Linked DNA regions of Macaca mulatta. The protein of the gene in region 3 purifies or fractionates together with the protein of the main gene of each other region. This does not show direct contact. Links are inferred from orthologs where the notes say so. Each region holds a gene or a part of one and is shown on either strand. Other genes may lie near its edges.

Evidence for each region. The genes of interacting proteins can lie anywhere in the genome.
Region 1: the proteins of EXOC7 (region 3) and EXOC6B purify together in Homo sapiens (affinity purification with mass spectrometry; 3 studies listed by BioGRID and IntAct, with this or other methods). This does not show direct contact. The link is inferred for Macaca mulatta from reciprocal best matches to the Homo sapiens genes EXOC7 and EXOC6B.
Region 2: the proteins of EXOC7 (region 3) and EXOC6 purify together in Homo sapiens (affinity purification with mass spectrometry; 4 studies listed by BioGRID and IntAct, counting the BioPlex papers as one, with this or other methods). This does not show direct contact. The link is inferred for Macaca mulatta from reciprocal best matches to the Homo sapiens genes EXOC7 and EXOC6.

What each region holds. Positions count from the first base shown.
Region 1 is NC_133418.1:52,251,595-52,255,111, reverse strand, and holds part of EXOC6B (exocyst complex component 6B), read right to left. Parts: intron 2,583-3,517; coding exon 2,477-2,582; intron 1,552-2,476; coding exon 1,442-1,551; intron 1-1,441. UniProt on the Homo sapiens protein: Component of the exocyst complex involved in the docking of exocytic vesicles with fusion sites on the plasma membrane.
Region 2 is NC_133414.1:104,906,141-104,909,657, reverse strand, and holds part of EXOC6 (exocyst complex component 6), read right to left. Parts: intron 3,026-3,517; coding exon 2,891-3,025; intron 1-2,890. UniProt on the Homo sapiens protein: Component of the exocyst complex involved in the docking of exocytic vesicles with fusion sites on the plasma membrane.
Region 3 is NC_133421.1:85,832,937-85,837,167, forward strand, and holds the start of EXOC7 (exocyst complex component 7), read right to left. Parts: upstream 2,815-4,231; 5' UTR 2,732-2,814; coding exon 2,672-2,731; intron 2,475-2,671; coding exon 2,409-2,474; intron 928-2,408; coding exon 743-927; intron 443-742; coding exon 337-442; intron 1-336. UniProt on the Homo sapiens protein: Component of the exocyst complex involved in the docking of exocytic vesicles with fusion sites on the plasma membrane.

The DNA of each region.
Region 1 (3,517 bases), on a different chromosome or scaffold from region 3:
ATGCCATGTGTTTGCTATTTTTAAAAAATCTTTCTTTCAAAAAGAAAGTTTTGTGTATTCAAAATTCATGCAATTACAAATTTTGTCAATGTGCATAATGCTTTTTGGCCTCTTCTGTCTAGTGTAAAAGAGAAAATTAAGAGAATAATTATTCTTAAAGCTGCATTAAAATCTGAATGCAGCGGTTTCTCTTGTTTTGAGAGCCTGCATGTAAAAGAAATAATTGTTTTATACAAATTTTCTCATGTTTCATGTTAGCCTCCACTACAAAACAGATATGACTGACAAAGCAATCTGTCACTCCAGGTTATAAGCTAAACATATTCCACGATATAAGATAAATGCCAACTGAAGAGTAAAAGGCATCTTTTTCTAAAATCCCCGAGTTAAATATTTTATTTAAATTTTAAATGTGAAAAATATTAAAGGAAGTTTTCAGGCAAAAACTTAACATATTCAGGCAAGAAAAAGGCATCTGACATTATCCCATTACTAATATTATTCCTTTACCATATTACCTTTCTTCCAAAAGAAGATAGAAAAAGTAATTTTGCAATCAACTTGTAATGATTTATCTACAATAATATACCTAACATAACCTACAGACAATTATCTAATATAAGGTCATTTATATTAATGAAGTGGGGACTAGGCAGATGGGGGATGGAAACCCAGGGTAAAAAACACAAACATCCTCATTTGTGTTTGGCTTGGCTTCTATGTTGCTCCAGCACTTATTAATTAATTGTTCAGCTTCTTAATTAGACTAGGTACTCCTTGAAGACAGGGACCACATTTTCATCATCTTAATTATTTCTATACTGAGGAGCAGCTGCCAAATAACACATTAGCCAAAATGTATGGTGAAAAAACCAATACATGAATAAAGAAACAAAGGAGCCTATACTCTAGGATATACAGAAAACATACATATACGAGTAGAGCAATAATGTTTCCAAAGGATTTTATCTGATACTCCCCTTTTGGCCTTAACATTTCATTAAGTAAAATGTTAAAATTAGTATTTTTTGCTTATTTTTTTTTCTTTAGAGATGGGGGTCCTGCTATGTGGCCCAGGCTGGTCTTGAACTCCTGGATTCAAGCGATCCTCCTGCCTCAGCCTCCCAAAGTGCTGGGATTACAAAAATGAGCCACTGCATCCAGTCTACCATTTTCTGGTAAATTATCTTTAATAGAAAGTGTTGAAATGCAAATCTATAAAGAGCAAGATAGATAATATAAATTTTCAAAATTATTCAAAAGTTACCAATCTTCCCTTTCATCATGACTATATAAATATAGCAGTGCTATGCATTGAAAAGCTAATTATTAAGGTTTCCAAAATCAGAGCTGATGGGACTATCAAAAGTTTTTTAGAATATGTAAATATATGAAGTCACAATCTTAACATTGATTACATTTCTACTATTTTATATTATACCTTAGATGAAGATCTTCTGAAAACTTCAGACAAGCGTAGATAAATTCTTTAATTTGGTTGTAAACTTTTGGCACAAATTCAGAGAAAGGAAACTTTTTTGGAAATGGTTGCTGTCAATGGAAGAAGTAATGAAATCAAGTCACAAACCAAGGAACATTGAAGATATTTATAAATTATTTAGGTTGCAAAGAGAACATTCTTCTACATTATGAATTGTCTCCTTAACAACCTCAAATATAAGAAAATATCTCCCAAAGTTTTCTGATATTAAAAAGACATAAATTTTAATAAAACAATAATTCAAATGTCCTTCATCATGGAAAGAGATAAACAAATTGTGTTACCTACTCAGAAATAAAAAGGAATGAACAATGATACATGCAACAATTTGGATGAATCTCAAAAGCATTATGTCATATCAAAGAAGTTAGTCTCAAGAAGTTATATACTATACAATTCCATTTACATGGCATTCTGAAAAAGGCAAAAGTAGATGCACAGAGCCCAGCTTTCTGGTGTCCTGGGGCTGGGTTAAGGGAGGGAATTACAAAGGGGCATCATTAAATAAATTTTTTTTTTTGTATAATAGGCCTATTTGGTATCAACATTGTGGTAATGGATACATAACTCAATACATTGTCAAAATCAGCAGAATTGTATATCACAAAGGGTAAATTTTATGTTGCTGGGGAAAATGTCTTTAAATTATAATAAAAACAAGTATTTCAAAGTGCAAACTGAATTAGAACATCCACAGTAATCCTCCAAACACTTCAGAGGTAATAGGACCCAAAGCCATCTGCTGATTCCCAAATCAGGAAATTCTGGTCTTCCCCAAAAAGAGTCCTTCATTGTCAGAAAGGTGATTAAAGTGAAAAAAAAAAGAAAAGAAAAAGAAAAAGAAAAAAGAATCCTTTGAAATTGTTTTAGAGTTCTAACCCATTGAGTTGAAGGCACAGCTTTCAATGAAACTGATCCAATGAAAGCTTTTAAGAGGATGCCAAAACAACCAGAGAAGTTTAAAGTATTCCTTACCTTTTCCAGTTCTATATCTTGAAATGGGAATTGTCCTACCACCTTTTTGTACATCTCTTCACTTGTTACTGGTATAGGACTATAGTTGTCAGAATCAAGTATGTTTCTACAAATGGAAGGACAGACAAAGGAAATGGAAGGATAGACAAGGCAGGGTGGGGGAGGGGAGGGAAAGGGAGGGAAGGTGGGTTAATCACAAATACTTTTCTGATGAACTCCAACCTTAATATATATAACACAACCCAAAATGAACGTTTCCCAGTCCCTATTATATCCCTTCCACAATATAGCTATTTGGTTTTGGATTTAAAGAAGACAAAAATAAAACTATCCTCTGAAACAAATGGACCACAATTATAAATATATGTCTTAGGATTAGAGATTTACAAATAGGACAGAACGTATCAATGTAAGTAAGAAGTAAACAACAAAAGAATGTGTGCTCTAGAAAAGGCAAAGAGATTTTTCTGTTTGGTTTAATATGATATATAAATGTACATTATTATTATTATTATTATTATTATTATTATTAGAGACAGGGTCTCGCTCTGTCACCCAGGCTGGATTTCAGTGGCATGATCACAGCTCACTGTAACCTCAAACTCTGGGGCTCAAGCAGTCCTCCCACCATAGCCTCCCAAGTAGCTGAAACTACAGTTGCTCACCAACCCCCGGGGTAATTTTTTAAGTTTTTGTAGAGATGGACTCTTGCTATGTTGTCCAGGATGGTTGCAAACTCCTGGCTTCAAGGCATCTTCCCACCTTGGCTCCCAAAGTGCTGGGATTACAAGCATGACCCACTGCATCTGGCCCATTGGTAAGGTTTTTAAAATCATGTTCTATTCTAACTTTCAAAATTGCAAATAGAGTAACTTCCATAATAAATTCAAACTATTTCATTTACTTTACCTACTGTTCTATGTCAAGAATGACTTTTTTAAAATCTATAGGTTCTCTCTCCGTAAATAAACTGGGCATTTTCTAATAGTAGGGACCATACTACCAAAATCAAAACAGAAGACTCACTGAAGGCATCAGATC
Region 2 (3,517 bases), on a different chromosome or scaffold from region 3:
TTTTTTCATCTATATTGATGCAAATTTTTCCAGTTAAGAGAAGTCTTATATTAGCTTTAAGTAGCTCTCTATTTGGGTCTGAGTTACTTTCAAAAAGCTGAGGTACTGCTTGAGGGTAGGAACTACTTAATGAACTTCTTTTATGTCACTTACAGAGTTAGCAAACAAGTTAACAAAACTGTCTATACACTATTTCATAACCTAAATATATATGACACAAGATCAGGCAGTTTGTGTGTGCATACGTAGTTTTTGGAAGGGAAGCAAATGGAGGTATAGGTATCATTAAGTGCTTGTTTCCAGAATCATTAAGCAATCAAATAGAAATATGTTTTCTAGGGTCACTGAACTGAAAAAAAAATCAGGCTAATAGGCTAAATAATCCAATCAAATGTCTACAGTCAAGACTGTACTTCAATCGTTTCTGTGAAAGAGGCAACAGACTATTCACTGTGAATGGAAATTCCCCAGTGTCCCTCAGTAATTCACTTTAATATTGATTTAACAATCCTCCCTGTTGAAGTACTTCCCCTTATCACATTTTGAGACAAATTCCTCTTGAAACAGACCAAAAGATAGAACTGAAAAATACTTGACCTTCAAATATTAAGATGAAAACAGCTCTTGCTCACATATTAGAAAACAGAAAAGCATTTACTGAGTTCTGTGTGAAAACAAAACGAACAAATAAACAACAAAAAACAAAGATGCTTCGCTATTTACAGAGCAGAACTTGATTTCCAAGGAAATCCACCAAGGAGTATGCAATGACAGTTGTGGTTTCAACTCTGGAATGATGAACCAGAGCTAACATTTCTAAACATTCTTTCCCAACAGGCAGATTTTGAGAAATACAGTTCCAAGATCCCCTAATCTAAGAGCATTGTGTTCCAGTATCTTTGGTTCTTTGGCTTATAATCGATAAGAAAATTACTCTAAGATCCCTAGAAACACAAGATGCTAAAGTAATTCATGTTTTAATCAGAGAGTACTGGGTAAGCATATTAAATGTAATGTTAACAGTTAAATATGCCTACAATTCTAAGCCTGAGAAATCCCTTCTTGACAGAGTATGAGTAACACATGGATGTAAGGACAGAAAGAACAATGAAGAGAAAGTAGAGGCATTATGTAAAATCTAACATAAAAGCTAAGAATCAATTTGTCCTTGGATAAGTAAGTGACTAAAAACTTGTGGCGTCTCCTCCTATATTATCACACTTACCATACCACATTGTTAAGTGTCTTTTATTTTTTTCCTCCTCTGAGCTTCTTGAGGGCAGGGATACATTTTTGTATTCTCAGAGTCTAAACAGAGTGCTCAGAGCATGATTTATATACAGTGAATGGTTCTGTGCTAAGTGTCTTCTTTACTCCTCATAATGATCACATGAAGTAAGTACTGTACTGTTACTCTAATTTTATAGATAAAGAAACTTGGAATCACATTAAAGAACTTGCCCAAGACCACAGAGCAATCTAACTTCAGAGTATATGAATTTAATCACTGTACTATATTATCTGAATAAATGAATGCCTGCTTTTTTAGGCTTCTAAGTTTTAATAACTAATTTTGTTAAGTCTGCTGATTCAGGTATCATTCTGCATTTGTGTCTTATGTATTGAAATGACTACTTAGCTCAAGAGGCACCAGAGGAGCATAATATTTGGGGGCCAAGCAGATAATTCTAGCATTCCAGGGTTGTTTGTGGACTTCACACTTTCAAAGTATGGTTAAATGTTAACATTAAATTAGTTATTTTTAAACACAAGAACATTCATTTTTTTGTTTTGTTTTTTTTTTTGAGATGGAGTCTTGCTTTGTTGTCCAGGCTGGAGTGCAGTGGCGTGATGTCCGCTCAACGCAAGTTCCACCTCCCGGGTTCATGCCATTCTCCTGCCTCAGCCTCCCGAGTAGCTGGGACTACAGGCACCTGCCACCACGCCCAGCTAATTTTTTGTATTTTTAGTAGAGACGGGCTTTCACCGTGTTAGCCAGGATGGTCTCAATCTCCTGCCCTTGTGATCCGCCAGCCTCGGCCTCCCAAAGTGCTGGGATTACAGGCGTGAGCCACCATGCCCAGCCAGTACATTCATTTTTTAAAATGCAAGTTATTACAACAAAATCTTGGGGGTGATTGATAATATAACAAAAGTAGTTAAAGAGAATTCTTTTTAACAGGAAACTTTTAGAAAGAGCTATAAGGTTGAATTAGCAAGCCCATTTTGCAGATAAGTGATCAGTACATGGTTTATCATTAGTTTAACAAAATATTCAATGCAAGGGGATTTATATACACTAGACTAAGCTAGTGTCTCATCTATGACTCCAAATCAATAAAATAATAAAATAGCTTATGAAATTATTTAATCTTACATTCTACCTAAAACAACCGTTAATTAATCCTCAGTATATCCTGTATATTATTAAAACAGAAATCTTCCCATCCACAAAACAGGCAGGACTTCAATGACATGTAATAATACTTGCTTTTCTTCAGATCAGAACCAGTCAAGGATGGAAAACAAATCTATCCTTATTTAATTTGTCTTACATTTAAAATTTTCAAACATAAACACTCATATAGAATTAATTTTTAAACTGTGAAATATTAATTCAGTTAGACCTATTCAGCACTACTATAAATCATCAAAACATGAACAAAGCGTAATACATTGTAGAAAATAAGTATACTTTTCTCCATGTTAATAAGATGTTTACGGTGCCAAAAAAAACCTTACATTTATCTGCTCATTGTTGACAATGATTACCTCTATTCTTAATTTTTAGGAATATAGTAGATCTTGCATATAATAAGAACAGTCTTTAATTTCTTAACGTTTGTTTACAGTGACTGAAATGAAAACTTTTGGTCAAATTTTTACATACCTTAAAAGTAGAAAGTCCATAAAGTCTTGTAGTATGAACAGTTTCTTGAGAAATATTTGTAATGTTAGTTATAAAGTCCTCAAGATATTTACAAGCTTGTTCCAGGTGTGTTGTGTTTATGATGATTTGCACCAGCTAGAAAACACAAGATATATCCAGTAAAATACAGGTTACATGTATGTAAAATCACCTAATTTTTAAAAATAGGATTATTACTTCCAGCAACTGTACCATATCTACATAACTACAGCATTATAGGATACAACTATCTGATTTTAAAAGCCTGCTGCAAATACTGCTTATGAATTTTTATATATATATATATACACACACACACATATCAAGAATCTAACTGCCAGTTATTTTAAAATAACTTTTCATAGTATGTTTCAAATCTTAAACATTTAGCAAGTAAAAAATTAGGATTTTGGCTTTTCCTGTAGTCTGGCAATCAGAAATCTAAACAGATGTTCTAACATCTTTATCTACTATTCCCCATATGAACCCTTTTCCCTCACTTTTTTTTTTCTTCCAGAGACAGGGTCTTGCTGTCACCCAGGCTGTGTACTGCAGTGGTATGAGTGTCACTTACTGCAGCCTCAACTTCCTGAGCTCAAGTCCAGAGTA
Region 3 (4,231 bases):
TGCAGTGAACTGAGCACTGCACTCCAGCCTGGGTGACAGAGCAAGACTCTGTCTCAGGAGAAAAAAAAAAAAAAAATCAAATGTTAAGTATATATTTTATATGTAATTTATAATTTAATTTTTATAATACATTTAAAAGTTTTATAATAAAGAATTTTTAATAATAAAAAATGTGCAATTCTTGAGGCAGAGATACTAATGCCTAGAGGATGTACTGTGCTATATCCTTCTGTGTATTCTACTGTATACATCCTCAAGCTGGCCCCATGTCCCTCATGAGACCAGGGCAGAGACTGATATCCCCAAGCTCCTCACATTATTCTGCAGATCCCTTACCACTTTGTTGAGTTCTGGGCTGTCTGGGCTGTTGTCCTGGAAATACTCCACTGCCTTCTGAATCTTGGCCATGCTTCCCAGGTACTCTTCCAGCCTACCTGTGGGGCTGGGAAGCAAAAGAGCCAGGTCAGGCTGGGGCAAGGGGGGTGAAGAAGGACTAAGGACACAGTATTTGGAAGGGAAAGAAGAGAATTAATACATGGGACTCCAGGTTCAAATATATGCTATCCCCCCCACCGCCTTTTAAGGCTTAGGGCTTAAAAGGCATCTCACTGTGTTGTCCAGGCTGGTCTTGAACTCCTGGTCTCAAGTGATCCTCCCGCATCAGCATCCCAAATTATTGGGATTACAGACCAACCCTCCGGTCCAGGAGGGATTAGGAATTGACCCTATGGGCCTAACTCACCCCTCTCTGATGATCTTCTCAGTGTCACTGGCCACATGGTAGTAGCTGATGACATGGTCCAGGCAGGACAGTGTCTTCTCAACATTCTCCTGCAGCCGCTGCAGATTCTCCGTCTGCTTGTGCACGGGGATGATGGAGTTCTCCAGCTTCATAAGGCGGCTCTCAAAGGATGATAAGATAGACACCTGCAGGAGGGAAGCCTCTTGATCTCAGGCCTCATGGTGGTCCCAGCACTGCTTCTACACACCCACCTTGGGCATTTCCTGCCTTTTCTCTGGGTTTCTAGACAATAAACTCCACAAGGGAAGGAAGAGGGTGTATCTGTTCCCCATTGTATCCTCAGCACCCATCATGTGCCTAGCATATAGTAGGTGATTTAAGACAAATTGGTTGAAATTTTATTTGAAGGCAAACCAAGCATCAAATTAATTCTTCCTAAAATAATCAGCCCAAGATGGCTTCCCTTCCACCCTTTGAAGCCAAATCTCAACTTCTGCTCTCTTTGAAGCATTCCTAAACTGGACTGGAAGTAGTTTCATACAGAGAAGCCTCAAATGCATTTCTGTATCTTCAAAACTCTCTTAAGGATGAAACTCATTGAATAAGGACTAGAGGCTGGGCGTGATGGTTCATGCCTGTAATCCTAAGAATTTGGGAGGCTGAGGCAGGAGGATTGCTTGAGACTAGGAGTCCAAGACCAGCCTGGACAACACAGTGAGACCCTGTCTACACACACAGACACACACACGCACATAATTAGCAAGGTGTGGTGGTATGTGCCTACAGTCCCAGCTACTAGGATGCCGAGGCAGGAGGACTGCCTGAGCCCAGGAGTTAGAGACTGCAGTGAGCTACGGTCATGCCACTGCACTCTAGCCTGCACAACAGAGCCAGACCCTGTCTCTAAAAAGAAATAATTTTAAAATTAAATTTTTTAGAAAAGGACTAGGACTTTATTATTGTGTGACTAAATACAAATACAAGTTTGTATTTACTCACTTTGTGCTTTTCCAGTCTCCCCTAGGAATAAAGAAGGAACCTCACTTATTGAGCACCTATTGTATACCAGGCACTGAGCAAGATGCAGTCGCATGCATTAGCGCATATGACCTTCACAGACACACTGGGAGGCTGGCACAGTCTCTGCTTTAGCAGATGAATTCGCTGACACCAGAGTTACCTATCAGGAGCCACACACTTAAGCAGCAGGGCAAGGACTAGATCCCAGATCTGCCTGACTTCAGAGCTCTTTCTTTCCCTGAAGCCCTCTGGAGTGAAGGCTGAGTCTTCTCTGCTCTCAGGAATCTCAAAGTGCCAACCTCCTGGGCAGAGGATCCATTGACGATGACATATGCCCAGTACCTAGCCCAACTAACTGGTCAGACTCACTGAGTATTTGCAGAAGGAGAGAAGGAAGAATGGCGAGCTTAGACAGAAAGCAGCAAGTCCAGGCCAGGGGGAAGCGCAGCCTCCTCAGTGAGGGGACGGAATATGGGGAGGGGGCTAGGCAGGAGAGATGCCAAACTGCTGCTAGATAAACCCACACACTGCCTGCGTCGCTACCCATGACAGAACCCCAGGCCGCAAGAACTGGAACCGCCAGGTCGCAAGGCTTTCCCCCAGGGTCCGGAGGCCTGCCCCCTCCCCCAGCTGCGAGGAGACTCACCATGTTCTTAGTGAGCTGGTCGCTCTTCTCCAGGCTGTCTCGGATGAAGGACAGCGTCTCCTCCTCCTGGGAGCAGGCAAGGGGAGGACATCACCAGAAACCAGAAGCTAAAGGAGACCACTGTGTCCCGACCCCACGGCCTAGCCCCCAACCCCATCTCCTCGCTCGGTGCGCTCCCTCCCACCCCTGCCTCCTCTCCGAGTAGACACTCAGGCCCCGCTGTTGGCCTCTTTCCCTCACCTCCTCCCCAGGCCCACGCCCACCTGCTTCAGCTTGTCCTCGATCTCCCGCCTTCGGGCGGATGCCTCCTGTGGGGGAATCATCGCTCCGAACCCCACGGCTCCCACTCCCCACTATCTCTCCTTCGCTGGCGCACCGGGCCCCAGTCCCCGTCACACCCACTTCCGCTCTTGGTCCCGCCCCGGGACACCTGGGCGGAGCCAGGTTGGGCGTGGAAGGCGGAAGTGCGCCTGCGCGGAGCCCAGGAACGGACCGACGGCCATCTTGAGTGTGGCTGTGGAGTGACGTGTACTCGGATCCTACAAGGGATCTCGACGCGGGTTCCTTTCCTCAGGAGAGGTTTTTGATCGGCCTTATGTCCCGCGGCTGGTAGGACGCTTACAGCTCACTTGCTGTTTTCGTTGAAAGACCGAGCCTTTTCATAAACACTGCTGGGGAAGGCGACGAATTCCTTTCCCCAGGTCGCATTCTGTGGGCAGGCACCAAGGCCGATTGTGTTCCCCACAGCGCCCGGCACAGCGCAGGTGACACAGTAGATGCCTAACGTGTGTCCATGTAATGAACCAGGGGCTTGTGTAGTCGTTTTCCCCTTCAACCCTGCATTACGCAAAACCGTATCCTGTGGGCTGGCGGGGCTGCTCCGGAGCTCCAGGCCCAGTCCCAGCTTCCAGCTGCAGCTCCAGGGGATGGCGTGGTGGGCGCCCCTGGATCAACTTCCCTGCAGGGTTGGATGTTGTGGTTGTAGACCCAGCTCCTGAAAAACCTAGAATTACTCCTTCCTCTAACCAGTCCCTGCCCACCCTGCCTCTGGCCCCCGGCCTTGAGACAGGACATGGCCGACCAACTTGGTTCAGTCCTTCTGTGGCCTCAGTGTCCAGACACCGGGAAGATAGACAAGGAGGCATGTGCTGGTGGATGAGAAGGTTGGGGGGGGGGGACGGACACCAAGCTTTTCTTTTTTTGTTGTGAGAGGGAGTATCACTCTGTCGCCCAGGCTGCAATTCAGTGGCACGATCTCCGCTCATTGAAACCTCTGCCTCCCGGGTTCAAGTGATTCTCGTGCCTCAGCCTCCTGAGTAGCTGGGATTACAGGCGGCTGCCAACACGCCCGGCTAATTTTTTTGTATTGTTGGTAGAGACAGGGTTTTGCCATGTTGCCCAGTCTAGTCTCGAACTCATGACCTCAAGTGATCCACCCACCTCGGCTTCCCAAAGTCCTGGGATTACAGGCGTGAGCCGCTACTCCCAGCCTGGGGGGCACCAAGTTCTAGGGTTCCCATGCGCTCCCTCTACTCATAGCCACCCAAAGAGGAGGAGGAGGAAATGGGTGTACAGAGCCTGGAGAGGGATGGGCAGCCTTCCCTCGGGCAGGAGGACAATTTCCGTCCTTTTGTAGGTGGGGGAGGTAAAGGGCAGATTCCTGTGTCAGGAAATACCCAGGATGATTTCGCTGACGTGGTCCTTGTGTCGTCCTAAGGGCTAAGTGGGGAAAAGTTTAAACTGTTAGGTGTCACAGAATAGAATAGGGGGGCTAGTGAGCCGCTGCAGAGAGGATGTTTTGGGTTCAGGTGGACAACCCTTGA